Linked DNA regions of Lepisosteus oculatus. The protein of the gene in region 1 interacts with the protein of each later gene in a pairwise test. Links are inferred from orthologs where the notes say so. Each region holds a gene or a part of one and is shown on either strand. Other genes may lie near its edges. The genes, in order: dnaja3a and tcf19l.

The links.
Region 2: the proteins of dnaja3a (region 1) and tcf19l interact in a two-hybrid assay, tested with the Homo sapiens proteins (2 studies listed by BioGRID and IntAct). The two-hybrid records come from large-scale screens. The link is inferred for Lepisosteus oculatus from reciprocal best matches to the Homo sapiens genes DNAJA3 and TCF19.

Annotation. Positions count from the first base shown.
Region 1 is NC_090714.1:3,739,819-3,747,876, reverse strand, and holds the start of dnaja3a (dnaJ heat shock protein family (Hsp40) member A3a), read left to right. Parts: upstream 1-5,041; 5' UTR 5,042-5,043; coding exon 5,044-5,350; intron 5,351-7,605; coding exon 7,606-7,742; intron 7,743-8,058. Other genes in the region: coro7 (coronin-7), read right to left, coding at 4,162-4,443. UniProt on the Homo sapiens protein: Modulates apoptotic signal transduction or effector structures within the mitochondrial matrix. Affect cytochrome C release from the mitochondria and caspase 3 activation, but not caspase 8 activation.
Region 2 is NW_027168109.1:40,589-48,233, forward strand, and holds the start of tcf19l (transcription factor 19), read right to left. Parts: upstream 3,160-7,645; 5' UTR 2,656-3,159; coding exon 2,190-2,655; intron 212-2,189; coding exon 1-211. UniProt on the Homo sapiens protein: Potential transcription factor that may play a role in the regulation of genes involved in cell cycle G1/S transition. May bind to regulatory elements of genes, including the promoter of the transcription factor FOXO1.

The DNA.
Region 1 (8,058 bases):
CTGTAAAGCCTTTGTATGACCAAACAGAAGGAGGCCTTAAAAATACAGCACAGTTGTTCTAGTAACGGGAAGTCTCACAGTGAATTTATAAAGCATTTTCTACAGTTAAACAAGAAATAACCTGCTGGGGAATGCACAGTGCCCACAGCCCAAAGATAGACTGCATTTGCTGCCAGGGCCAGTTTACTTCTTTTTGGCTGTGAGCTCTTTGCTTCTATTTGCTCCACAGCTGGCTGGAGACAGAGGGATTCTGGAGAGTGGCTGCAATGGACTCAGCTTGGCAGCTCGCCCTGTACTACAGTGATGTGCACAATGCTGTGGAAGTCTCCGAAACTCTGGCACTGCGCTGCAAATCATTTAAAAACGTGTCCAAGATTCCCCAGTGGCTCAATCAGAATACGAACTTCCATCCAGGCTTTTATCCTGAGCAGGGAATCCCTGTGCTGGTCCCGGAGGGACGTCGTGTCGCTAGGTTTACAGTCCACACTGCATGAGCTAATTATTGTTTAACTGGACACACTTGCCAGAGCAGGTCTGCGAACCCCTGAGCTATAGCTTGCAAGGGAGCCCATGGTGAAACAGGAAGTTTCCAGTGGTTGAGGACATTTATTCAAAAGAATCTGGGCTCTACAGGGGGATTTCTAGCTTCCTGTGCTGCAGGGATGACCTCTGCTCACACAGTGGACACTCCTCACGACTGGACTGTATTAGTCCTGTGACACTCACTCCTCAACCTGGACACCTGCAGGCCCTGCTGCTTTTCAATCCACCTGCGCTCTTAATGAGTTTATCGAATCAGTTATTGAATTATCTGATCCAACTTACCTGGGTTTCCAAACCTTTAGTTACGGAGCATTTTTAGTTACCTAAAAAAAACCTGCAGGTCTCCAGGACCAGATATGAAGATGGTGGTTTTGGCGAGTCTGTGCATCTCCCTGGTTTTGGGGTGTCATTGGAGGCCACTGATGTTCTGGACCGGCACAGCTACACTGGCTGCGGCTACACATGCCTCAGGGGACAAGGAAAGCAGGACCATCCCGGAAATCCAGCTCAAGTGGCAGCTGGAAAACGTTGAAAACTAACTCCTCCGCTAAATTTCTAGGCAAGAGATGTGCTCACATTGTTCTGAGGCGCAGCTTTCTTGCTAGAGGCTCTTAACGCAATTACAAATCTACATCTTTGCCAGAGGCTGCAGTACAGAAGCTCCCACACATGGGACTGAATGCCAACAGCCTCTACAAACAAATCACTGTAATCCACAAATCAACACTATTGTACCAGCCTCTGTAAAGGCGACATACAGCCAATGTATTTGTGCCCTACTAACAACAGGGCGGGGACTGACTCTGTCCTGGAACACAAAGAAATAAGTCTGAAATTCCACTCCAAAAATATACAAAAAGATAGGTTAGCCCACACTTGTGCGTCATAATAGCACGGGCAAACTGAAGGGGAGCAATATATTGCCTTGTTAATCATCTCTAAATAGGACAGAGCTGAACCCCTTTCTCATTGCATTTGACTGTAGTAACCGTGCTGCTCTTTCTGTAAACAGAGTGGAATCCCATCCTTTCTGAGGGATGTACACCAAAGGCAACAGCACATCCCAAAACGATATTTTAAAAATGTGTCACCCCTATTACTAGAACCCTTGGCTATACCAAGAAATGTCACTCCTCAACTTTCTGAGCCTTACACAGACAGAACTACAACAGAACATAGCTGTCGCAGCTACTAATAGTCCATTCTGTGAACTAAACAGTCTCCACCTTATTTGTGTTCTTGTGGTAGGATTTAACAGACCCTGCAAATGCAAAAAACCTCAAACGAGAAACCATCTTCAAAAGCACAGCACCAGGGCCTGGGTGAGCAGCTGTGTGGGACAGCCAGTAAGGAGGGGTCTTGAGACTGCTGCTCAAGAGGGAAGAAGACAAGATCATCCCAGAGAAACGTGTTGGGTAGGAGAGGCCGGGGCTGAAGACGGACGCCGAGGTTCTTAGCAGAAGAGAGCACGGACAGCAGAGCACTGAAATACATGTTATCTGTCAGTCCCACCTGGAACAGGAAATCCCTGAAGGATTTTTTTGTTCCCCGTGGGTAAGCAGGGGACACTTCCACTGAATATGAATCTTAGCCTCTGCGTGCAGACTGGACAGGAGACAAAGCATCACTGTTGGACAGACTGGAAAACCATCACGCCTGACGGCCCGTCAAAACAGTTAATTCAATTAAACTTTAACAGCAGGGCGCGTGATGAAAACCAGAGGCAGAAGTGTGTGACTTCTTTTAGTAAGCAGCTGCAGCAGCATGCGAAGGCGGCAGAGGAGCAGGGAGAGGTTTATTCCAGGCTGAAAGGAAAAGAAAAGAGACACCGTGTTTCGACTGTGGAGCCTTCCTCAGGTGTCCACTTCTTTCGTACACGTTTTGGTAGATCAACAACCGTTGTTCAGTCTCTGCCTCAGGGCTGTCTATGAAAACTGAAGATATTTGCCAATAAGCTCTTCAACTCAATTTACAGAAAGAATGGAGACATGGTTAAAAAGTCCAGCATCCTCCAGCACGTTATCAATGCAAAATTATTGGGTCTCATTCATACCATTGGTTTAAAACATCATAATGGGATAGGTCCACAATATAAGCTTCAAAGGTTTGAGACATTCAAAGGTGAACTACGTTTGCAAAGTAGGAAAGCCGAGTATAAGTGGGGATGAGTTCTTAGCCCGTTTGAATGCAGCTCAGTCCTGCAGCTCCCTCCCCCCAACCACAGGGGTCGCTATTACACAACGATATGCACATTATACCAATTAATAACCCTGTCCTGATATATGGATGGATGCTTCAAGAAGAAGTTTTCCACGACTGAGGACTCCCCATATCTAAAACTCATCAGCTTTAGAAGAGCACCTCGGTTTTACTCTTGAGTAGAAACGTGCGGTGGAATTCACAAGCACAAAGTGGAACACGTGTGCCTGCAATGCACTCCAGGTGAGGCTTCCTCTGAAAGCTTCCAAACCACTCAATCAGAAACGACAGCGATATAGTGTATCTCGGTTGTGCGTGGGAAAAGCCACACCTTCCTGACTTCAGATTCCACCACTCACCGTCAATCTGGCCAAAACAAAACCTCGCCCAAGGAATATCTCGAAACTGGTGACTTCCTTTGCCCGGGGCTAGAAATTACCTGTGATCTCGCTGTGCCCACGCACGGAACACAGAGTAGTGCCCGGGATCATTTCACACCTTCAGCAGAGCCTATATTCCAGCACGTGTGAAGGTCGCTAGGAAGATAACCTCTCTCGTCAAAAAGTTGAAGTCGACACTCTATTGCACAGACGTATCTGTAGATGAATTCCCTCCCCGTAAACAGATCAACAATGAATCAACCACTTTCTTTGAAAATTATGCAAAACATTTGGATTGCGTCGGAGCTGACCTAGTAGCTACTCATTAGATTTTACACACCAGGAAGAGCGCGATAGGGTAGCAAATGGCAGAATGGGCGAATTACGATTATTTTGACTTTCTATCGTGCTTGTCAAGGCTAGAACAGTAATTAATAAATTCAGGTTCGCTCCGAGCACAGCTTGTTCATGCACGCTACCTTAACACACATCCTGGTATGACTTTTAAAAAAAAAGTCGAGGTAATTGAGCATCGTGTTTTACATATATTTGCATTAAATCATTCACAGCTGTAAACAATATTTCAGTCTATCTAAACTTTTAGAAACGATTAAACATACCGCGCGGTAGAAATGAAGCGTTGTTCTGTTTTCTTAAAGAGCAGTCTTATTTGCACATGCAATTTAAAACACAAATCACGTCTGGACGGAAATTATTTTTCCGTGTAACGTGAGCGTTTACAACCTCCCAGGTTTTAGTTTTTACCAAACCTTCATTCAAATTAGAGCAAAAAAAAACTGTCATGCACAGACGGAAAAATAAAAAGAGGCGAATCCCATCCTTTAATTAAAACCTGCAGTGCAAGCGGCCGTCTGGAAGCCTTCTTCTAAAACCAGCGTACATTTCAATCTGAATTTGAACGAGTGCTTGAAAAATGATGACTCCGGGACAGCTTTGCGAGAGCAGTATTCAGGAAGTTGAAATGCCAGCACACGTCTCTCCCCCCATTCACTGCAAAACCCAACCCTCGCCGACTTACGTCTTTCTTGGGGATTTTTGGGGTGGTGTTCTTGAATTTGGAGATTTTGAAGCGGTTCATCCTTCTCCTTTCTCCTTCGCCGTCCTGCTCAACGCCAGTGACCCGTTTGCTATCTGTCCCACTCCTTCCCCGTCTCTGCAGACGCGCACACACGCTCAGCAGCTGCACTGACAGCACAACAGTGCCGGTCGATTGTCTCTTGCAGCGATTCACTCGGCGATCGATGCGAACGGGAGCGGCTGATGCTGTCTTGTCTGACCCCCCACCTCGAGCTAGTGACATTGCTGCAAACCTCAGATTGTACTGGGGGCATTTTGCGATTTCAGACTTCTCTTGCTACTTAGCATGTATGGTGCGCAATTTGAAACGAGTGGTGATGTTTTACAATACTGCTAAATTTAACAAAGTTTATGTTTAATTACTGTAAGTAACCCTCCTTTTAAAAAATCTGAGAGGTGTAAAACGGGTGGCCAGCAGACGCCCAACTGATGCTGAACAAATTGCCCCCTTGGGATTAAAGGCTCTCTCAGTCACAGCTCGCAACTGGGAGTTTATTTTGCATATTACTACACGACTTGGGGAGAAGGTTTTCTTTTTGTTTTTGGGCCCCTCTGGACGTATTTGTCGGAGATGAGTCTCTGCACTGCTGGGGAAACTCGTACCTGATTTAGGGGAAAAGAAAACATTTAAGTGCATTGATTTTAAAAAGCTAGCAACCTTCTAAAATTAAATAAATAATACATGGAATCTAACGTTAAAGTTTAAAACCATGTAGCAGAGGCAGTTCGTGTTTTTAAAATAATTATTGAAGCGTTTTTTTATTTTTCTTGAAGAGTCTGAAGTCCACCCTCACCCCTATCATGTGACATGTTCGCGCTGGGAATGTCCCCTGCGTTTGGACTGCGCATGCTCGCCCAGCTCCGCGCATGCGCGGCCCGTTGCTTTTCCCGGCCATGCGCTTTGCGCTGCCTCTGTCAGTCCTGGTACATGATGATGGCGTCTCCTGCGGTCCGGTGCTCCTCACGCTGGATCTTCGTGGCCGTCTCCGCCGGGCAGCGTCGGGGCTGCTCGCGGTTCGCCCGCGCCCATACGGAGACATTGCGTCCCGTTCCTGCCTTGAGTGCATCGCAGTATCGTCCCGGGGGCGGCGGAGGGCCCGGCCACGTCCTGACATTGAGAGCATTAGCAGGTAATGAGACGAGCCGGAATGCCTATATCCTGAACTCTTGCAATGTACATTACAGTTGCGCAGGGTTTGGGGGCTGTGTAATTAACAGCTAGCGTATTTCTTTCATTGCGTTGTCAATATTGTAGTGAAATGTGTGATATGTCTAGACTACACGCGTGCTTCCCTTGACGTCTCTACCGGCATTACGAAAGAGACGTAACGGCGTGACACAAAGTACCTCTGGATGACATGATCGTAAATTGCATATATTTTCTGTTTGACGTCCGTACTTCATGCAAGAAGCAGCACTTTTCGTGTTGATCTTAGATCGCAGGTGTGCTCTCTTCGGCTACCAGAAACTTCCTCCGCTCCAGCAGCTGACCTTGACTGGCAGCATGGTCGCTACTTTGTGTGCCATGCTTCCGGCTGTGGAGATTTAAGAGCAGGAAGGGAAAAATTACCGCAGAAACAAACTGTGACAAAAGGCACCCATAGGCATGTGTCGCTCGTAATTCATAAACCCCCTTTTTGCAGAAAAAGTCTTTGAAGACTAGTGCGGAAGATATAATTACAGTTATCGTGGTGACTTGAGCTATATGTAAATGTTGATCATATGGAGGTTTCAATCTGTTTACCTTTGAAGACTAGTTGCGACAGTATTCGAGAAAGCGTCAAATGGACGCATCTTACCGAAACGCCCTTTGTGTTCAGTTCCAAATCTTCTAGGTGTGATTGGGATAAAAACGACAAATAGCTGACATTGCTAGACTTTGAGCAGGTAGCAGCTGACATTGCTAAACTTTTAAAACAAGATATATTTTTTGAATATATCTCATAGGCTACTTGCTTCCTCTGGTTATTCTTGTACCAAATGTTGATTAACAGTTAGATCCATAAGGAGTCCAGACTGGATTGGCCAGTATTTGAAAGTATTACCAAAATAAACACTTTTCATTGTGATTATCAGATTCATTTGTTGCAAGAGCCTGCTGTTTGTATAAACTGATATTCAGCAGAGTCATGACTTATATATGCAATATATTGACAAAGTTAGCAGTTTCTTTTTAGTAGGTGGAGTACTGAGATTTCGGTGAACAGAAGTGCCATAATTAACAAGTTGCTTTCAGTAGAATTGATCACCATTTGGTCTTGTGTTAGGTCACAGTGTAATAGTGTCTGGAGCCACAGCTGGAAACAGTACAAGCTGTACATCTGGGATTCGTTCTCTGCAATACATTGCAATTGGATTTTGCCCTTTTCCCCTCATAGATCCTGTGAGCTTGTGTCTGTCCCTGGGCCTCCAAATGCCTTAGGTCTCCCTACCTCATCCAGTGGGGCTCAGGCCAGTAGAATACCCACAAGACACCATGTCCTATTCTCATCTTGCCAGAAAGCCCATGTTTCACACGCAGCATGAGGATGTGAAGGCGCCTCAATATATAGAGGTTATTTTTATAACTGGGGCGTTGCAGTTCCTTTCTGTAATTTTCTTTCTTCACAATCGGTGGGTTGGGATCACCCCTTGACCTGTTTCTGCTCAGCTCTCCCACTAATGTGAGTTTATTAGTGCTTATGCAACAAAGTCAATCATGAAATCGGTACACAGTCCTGCATGGCTGATTTCTCTTGACACATACAGTACACTCAGTAACGGAGTGCTACGTTTCTTTTCTTTCTAAGCCTAACTGGAGATCAGGAAAGATATCAAGAATCAGTGCACTCTGATGTCAGAGAAGCAACGTTTGGAACTTTCTTTAGTGCAGTTCAGAAAGCAGCATTGATCTCGTCTTCTTGTGGATTGGAGAGATGTACGAATACTTTCTGGATTCTGTTATATTGTATGGTGCTTTAAATGCCTGACGTCTGTGGATCCTTGCAGTAACCAGTGAGAGTCTGCTTACAAAAGTTGCACTGATGACAGTTGATCTCTGGCTTTATCAACAAGCAGTTTATCTTTAAGCAGTTCGACATCATGGGGTTCAGGCAGCTAGCGATGTCCTTTATTATTTCAGTCTTGCAATAATATTATGCAGTCTTGCAGCTGCACATGGAGTATGGTTTGGAAAGGAATATTCCAGTTTAATACCGAGAGTGCTGTCATATGTTGATTTGCTCTTTAAAAAGTACAGCACTCTAGTTCTGAGTTCCCAGGGAGACTGTACTCACGGGAGGTTCTGGCCTGCTGCCTCCCTGGGCTGTGGTGCTGTAGTCTGCCTGTGCCCCCTGGCAGAGCTCAGACCCCAACTGTTAAGCCGGGTCTCCACGTGCCCATACAGGAGTGAGGAGCCCCAGTGTCATCCCTGCCCCCGCCTTCCACACCAGCGCCTCTGCGTCAAACAAGCAGGACTACTACCAAGTGCTGGGGGTGTCCCGGTCGGCCACGCAGAAGGAGATCAAAAAGGCTTATTACCAGGTGAGAGACGTGGCTACAGCTCGAGAGACTGCAGACGCAGGAAAGATGACGAGAGCTGCTGTAGAATTTCTGTGAAAGCCTGTACCCTTTGTTATTTCTTAAATAAGAAACCGATAAAACTGTTTATTAAAGGTTCTTGTTCTATGCCATGACCGGAAACAGAAGGCGAAGCCTACAGACCAGTAAGAAGAAAGTCCTGTGTTTAATGTTCCTTCAGTGCTGAACTGACTCGGCAGGGACAGGCATTGGATGTCGGTGTTCAGCAGAGACTCTGAGGCGTTTGTTTAAATAAAGTAAATTGTTGTCCCTGCGACTG
Region 2 (7,645 bases), on another chromosome or scaffold:
ACCAGCGAGGCGCGGCGGGGCGCCGGGGGGGCCGGGGGGGCCGGCGCACGCGGCAGCGCGATGGCGGCGAAGGCGTCTGGGCGCAGCAGGGCCCGCTGGAACAGGAAGTAGCACTCGGGGCCGCGGGCCGGCGCCCCGAACGTCAGCGTGTCCCCATCCCTGAGCTCCGTCCTCTGACCCCGGAGCAGGAGAGAGTCGTTCAGCCACGTGCCTGGACAGGGGGGAGGAGGAGGGGTCACACTGTACCCCAGACACACACACACACACACACTGTACCCCCTCACTGAGCTCCGTCCTCTGACCCCGGAGCAGGAGAGAGTCGTTCAGCCACGTGCCTGGACAGGGGGGAGGAGGAGGGGTCACACTGTACCCCAGACACACACACACACACTGTACCCCCTCACTGAGCTCCGTCCTCTGACCCCGGAGCAGGAGAGAGTCGTTCAGCCACGTGCCTGGACAGGGGGGAGGAGGAGGGGTCACACTGTACCCCAGACACACACACACACACACACACACTGTACCCCCTCACTGAGCTCCGTCCTCTGACCCCGGAGCAGGAGAGAGTCGTTCAGCCACGTGCCTGGACAGGGGGGAGGAGGAGGGGTCACACTGTACCCCAGACACACACACACACACTGTACCCCCTCACTGAGCTCCGTCCTCTGACCCCGGAGCAGGAGAGAGTCGTTCAGCCACGTGCCTGGACAGGGGGGAGGAGGAGGGGTCACACTGTACCCCAGACACACACACACACACAGACAGTGTCTCTCTCTCTCTCACACACACACAGACAGTGTCTCTCTCTCTCTCACACACACACACTGACAGTGTCTCTCTCTCTCTCACACACACACAGACAGTGTCTCTCTCTCTCTCACACACACACACTGACAGTGTCTCACACACACACACACTGACAGTGTCTCACACACACACACTGACAGTGTCTCACACACACACACTGACAGTGTCTCTCTCTCTCACACACACACACTGACAGTGTCTCACACACACACACTGACAGTGTCTCTCTCTCTCACAGACACACTGACAGTGTCTCACACACACACACTGACAGTGTCTCTCTCTCTCACAGACACACTGACAGTGTCTCACACACACACTGACAGTGTCTCTCTCTCTCACAGACACACTGACAGTGTCTCACACACACACACACTGACAGTGTCTCTCTCTCTCACAGACACACTGACAGTGTCTCACACACACACACACTGACAGTGTCTCTCTCTCACACACACACACACTGACAGTGTCTCTCTCTCTCTCTCACACACACACACACTGACAGTGTCTCTCTCTCACACACACACACACTGACAGTGTCTCTCTCTCACACACACACACACTGACAGTGTCTCACACACACACACACTGACAGTGTCTCTCTCTCTCACACACACACACTGACAGTGTCTCTCTCACACACACACAGACAGTGTCTCTCACACACACACAGACAGTGTCTCTCACACACACACAGACAGTGTCTCACACACACACACTGACAGTGTCTCTCTCTCTCACACACACACACTGACAGTGTCTCACACACACACACTGACAGTGTCTCTCTCTCTCACAGACACACTGACAGTGTCTCACACACACACACTGACAGTGTCTCACACACACACACTGACAGTGTCTCACACACACACACTGACAGTGTGTCTCTCTCTCTCACAGACACACACTGACAGTGTCTCACACACACACACTGACAGTGTGTCTCTCTCTCTCACAGACACACTGACAGTGTGTCTCTCTCACACACACACACTGACAGTGTCTCTCTCTCACACACACACACTGACAGTGTCTCTCTCTCACACACACACACACTGACAGTGTCTCTCTCTCACACACACACACACTGACAGTGTCTCACACACACACACACTGACAGTGTCTCACACACACACACACTGACAGTGTCTCTCTCTCTCACACACACACACTGACAGTGTCTCTCTCACACACACACACAGTCTCACGCACACACACTGACAGTGTCTCACACACACACACAGACAGTGTCTCTCACACACACACAGACAGTGTCTCACACACACACTCTGACAGTGTCTCACACACACACACAGACAGTGTCTCACACACACACACAGACAGTGTCTCACACACACACACACTCTCAGACTCACCGTAGCTGCTCTGATCCACGATGAAGACTCTCCAGCCCCTCTCCTGCCCTTCCTCCTCCTCCTCCTCCTCTCGCTCGGCGTGCAGCTCCGCGTGCACGCGCGACACCAGCTCGGGCCGCTCGGCGCAGCTCACGGGCACATCGCACAGCTCGGGCAGGCGGCCCACGCGAAACACGCAGCGGGGCAGCGCGGGCCGGAAGGTGAAGAGGTCGCGGCCGGGGTCCGAGGCGCCGACGCGCAGCAGCTGGAAGCAGGGCTGCAGCCCGGGCAGCATGCTGCCCCGCCGGCGCGGACACGAGTGGCCGTGGGCTCGGTGTGGCGCGCAGCAGAGCCGGGCCCGTGACAGTCTCCGCGCGGCGCGCTCTCCCTCCCGGAAGCGCTTTGAAACTTGGCGCGCCGGCGCCACTCGCGCGAGACCCGCGCCGCCAAGGCCCCGCCCCCTCACCGGGGCAACGGCCGCCTCCATGGCAACAGCCCCGCCCCCCGCCGCGGGCCGGCCAGTGGGAACGCCCCTTTACCCACAAACACACTGGGACTCTTCATCATAATAATAAATAACACAACTCTGATACAGCCTCTCACTGTAACAGTACAGACACACAACACACACACACACTGGGACTCTTCCTCATAATAAATAACACAACTCTTATACAGCCTCTCACTGTAACAATACAGACACACAACACACAAACACACTGGGACTCTTCATCATAATAATAAATAACACAACTCTGATACAGCCTCTCACTGTAACAGTACAGACACACAACACACACACACACTGGGACTCTTCCTCATAATAATAAATAACACAACTCTGATACAGCCTCTCACTGTAACAGTACAGACACACAACACACACACACACTGGGACTCTTCCTCATAATAAATAACACAACTCTTATACAGCCTCTCACTGTAACAATACAGACACACAACACACAAACACACTGGGACTCTTCATCATAATAAATAACACAACTCTGATACAGCCTCTCACTGTAACAGTACAGACACACAACACACAAACACACTGGGACTCTTCATCATAATAATAAACAACACAACTCTGATACAGCCTCTCACTGTAACAGTACAGACACACAACCCACAAACACACTGGGACTCTTCATCATAATAATAAACAACACAACTCTGATACAGCCTCTCACTGTAACAGTACAGACACACAACACACAAACACACTGGGACTCTTCATCATAATAAATAACACAACTCTTATACAGCCTCTCACTATAACAATACAGACACACAACACACAAACACACTGGGACTCTTCCTCATAATAATAAATAACACAACTCTGATACAGCCTCTCACTGTAACAGTACAGACACACAACACACAAACACACTGGGACTCTTCCTCATAATAAATAACACAACTCTTATACAGCCTCTCACTATAACAATACAGACACACAACACACAAACACACTGGGACTCTTCCTCATAATAATAAATAACACAACTCTGATACAGCCTCTCACTGTAACAATACAGACACACAACACACAAACACACTGGGACTCTTCCTCATAATAAATAACACAACTCTTATACAGCCTCTCACTGTAACAATACAGACACACAACACACAAACACACTGGGACTCTTCATCATAATAATAAATAACACAACTCTGATACAGCCTCTCACTGTAACAGTACAGACACACAACACACAAACACACTGGGACTCTTCATCATAATAATAAATAACACAACTCTTATACAGCCTCTCACTGTAACAGTACAGACACACAACACACAAACACACTGGGACTCTTCCTCATAATAAATAACACAACTCTTATACAGCCTCTCACTGTAACAATACAGACACACAACACACACACACACTGGGACTCTTCCTCATAATAATAAATAACACAACTCTGATACAGCCTCTCACTGTAACAATACAGACACACAACACACAAACACACTGGGACTCTTCATCATCATAAATAACACAACTCTTATACAGCCTCTCACTGTAACAGTACAGACACACAACACACAAACACACTGGGACTCTTCATCATAATAATAAATAACACAACTCTGATACAGCCTCTCACTGTAACAATACAGACACACAACACACAAACACACTGGGACTCTTCCTCATAATAAATAACACAACTCTTATACAGCCTCTCACTGTAACAATACAGACACACAACACACACACACACTGGGACTCTTCCTCATCATAAATAACACAACTCTTATACAGCCTCTCACTGTAACAATACAGACACACAACACACAAACACACTGGGACTCTTCATCATAATAAATAACACAACTCTTATACAGCCTCTCACTGTAACAATACAGACACACAACACACAAACACACTGGGACTCTTCCTCATAATAAATAACACAACTCTTATACAGCCTCTCACTGTAACAATACAGACACACAACACACAAACACACTGGGACTCTTCATCATCATAAATAACACAACTCTTATACAGCCTCTCACTGTAACAATACAGACACACAACACACACACACACTGGGACTCTTCCTCATAATAAATAACACAACTCTTATACAGCCTCTCACTGTAACAATACAGACACACAACACACAAACACACTGGGACTCTTCCTCATAATAAATAACACAACTCTTATACAGCCTCTCACTGTAACAATACAGACACACAACACACACACACACTGGGACTCTTCCTCATCATAAATAACACAACTCTTATACAGCCTCTCACTGTAACAATACAGACACACAACACACAAACACACTGGGACTCTTCATCATAATAAATAACACAACTCTTATACAGCCTCTCACTGTAACAATACAGACACACAACACACAAACACACTGGGACTCTTCAGCATAATAAATAACACAACTCTGATACAGCCTCTCGCTGTAACAATACAGACACACAACACACAAACACACTGGGACTCTTCACCATAATAAATAACACAACTCTTATACAGCCTCTCACTGTAACAATACAGACGCACAACACACAAACACACTGGGACTCTTCAGCATAATAAATAACACAACTCTGATACAGCCTCTCACTGTAACAATACAGCACGCCTCTCCTCTCCACACATACTGGGACACTGGGACACTGATCAGGACAGGGGCTGATACAGCCTGTAAACACACCAGAGCACGCCTCTCCTCTCCACACATACTGGGACACTGGGACACTGATCAGGACAGGGGCTGATACAGCCTGTAAACACACCAGAGCACGCCTCTCCTCTCCACACATACTGGGACACTGGGACACTGATCAGGACAGGGGCTGATACAGCCTGTAAACACACCAGAGCACGCCTCTCCTCTCCACACATACTGGGACACTTGGACACTGATCAGGACAGGGGCTGATACAGCCTGTAAACACACCAGAGCACGCCTCTCCTCTCCACACATACTGGGACACTGGGACACTGATCAGGACAGGGGCTGATACAGCCTGTAAACACACCAGAGCACGCCTGTCCTCTCCACACATACTGGGACACTGGGACACTGATCAGGACAGGGGCTGATACAGCCTGTCCTCTCCGCACACCAGCGCTCTCCAGGTGCTGCTGTTTTACATGACAGCTCCCGTTAGGCCAGACTGACTCGACAGGCACCCACTTCCCTTGTTCCGATCGATCACTCGCCCACACGACACTTCATTATCGATCCGGAATCCTGAGCGCTTCCAGCCACAGGAAGCGGCCATCTTGGCCTCCCGCCCCCGGCACGTCACCGCGGCGGACACGCCCCCCTTTCCCCGCTCTCCGGGTGACGTCAGGCGGATGTGGCGTCGGCTCTAACGCGACTCCGGAAGAGCGGGTCCGTCGCTAGGTAACGGGCTGGCGGTTGGCGGCCCGCTTGAATCCGCCAGGCGGACAACATGGCGGACAGGCTGAACAGACCGGCGGACTTCTCGGCGCCCGGGGCTGCCGCGGGTAGGACTCCTCTCCTGCTGCTCCGATCCTGTCGTCTCCGCTCCCTTTACTTCTCCTCCCGCTGCTCTCCTGGCTCCGCTCTGTCACTGTGTCTCCTCTCGTCCTGCGGCTCTCCTGTCACTGTGTCTCCTCTCGTCCTGCGGCTCTCCTGTCTCTCTGTCTCCTCTCGTCCTGCGGCTCTCCTGTCACTCTGTCTCCTCTCGTCCTGCGGCTCTCCTGTCACTCTGTCTCCTCTCGCCTGTTGCTCCGATCCTGTCTGTCTCCTCTCGCCTGCTGCTCTCCTGTCACTGTGTCTCCTCTCGTCCTGCGGCTCTCCTGTCACTCTGTCTCCTCTCGCCTGTTGCTCCGATCCTGTCTGTCTCCTCTCGTCCTGCTGCTCTCCTGTCACTGTGTCTCCTCTCGCCTGCTGCTCTCCTGTCTCTCTGTCTCCTCTCGCCTGCTGCTCTCCTGTCTCTCTGTCACTGTGTCTCCTCTCGTCCTGCGGCTCTCCTGTCACTCTGTCTCCTCTCGCCTGCTGCTCCGATCCTGTCTCTCTGTCTCCTCTCGCCTGCTGCTCCGATCCTGTCTGTCTCCTCTCGCCTGCTGCTCTCCTGTCTCTCTGTCACTGTGTCTCCTCTCGTCCTGCTGCTCTCCTGTCTCTCTGTCTCCTCTCGCCTGCTGCTCTCCTGTCTCTCTGTCTCCTCTCATCCTGCTGCTCTCCTGTCACTCTGTCTCCTCTCGCCTGTTGCTCCGATCCTGTCTGTCTCCTCTCGTCCTGCGGCTCTCCTGTCACTGTGTCTCCTCTCGTCCTGCGGCTCTCCTGTCTCTCTGTCTCCTCTCGTCCTGCTGCTCTCCTGTCTCTCTGTCTCCTCTCGTCCTGCTGCTCTCCTGTCTCTCTGTCTCCTCTCGTCCTGCTGCTCTCCTGTCTCTCTGTCACTGTGTCTCCTCTCGTCCTGCGGCTCTCCTGTCACTCTGTCTCCTCTCGCCTGCTGCTCCGATCCTGTCTCTCTGTCTCCTCTCGCCTGCTGCTCCGATCCTGTCTGTCTCCTCTCGCCTGCTGCTCTCCTGTCTCTCTGTCACTGTGTCTCCTCTCGTCCTCCGGCTCTCCTGTCACTCTGTCTCCTCTCGTCCTGCTGCTCTCCTGTCACTGTGTCTCCTCTCGCCTGCTGCTCTCCTGTCTCTCTGTCTCCTCTCGTCCTGCTGCTCTCCTGTCTCTCTGTCACTGTGTCTCCTCTCGTCCTGCGGCTCTCCTGTCACTCTGTCTCCTCTCGCCTGCTGCTCCGATCCTGTCTCTCTGTCTCCTCTCGCCTGCTGCTCCGATCCTGTCTGTCTCCTCTCGCCTGCTGCTCTCCTGTCTCTCTGTCACTGTGTCTCCTCTCGTCCTCCGGCTCTCCTGTCACTGTGTCTCCTCTCGTCCTGCTGCTCTCCTGTCTCTGTGTCTCCTCTCGCCTGCTGCTCTCCTGTCTCTCTGTCTCCTCTCAT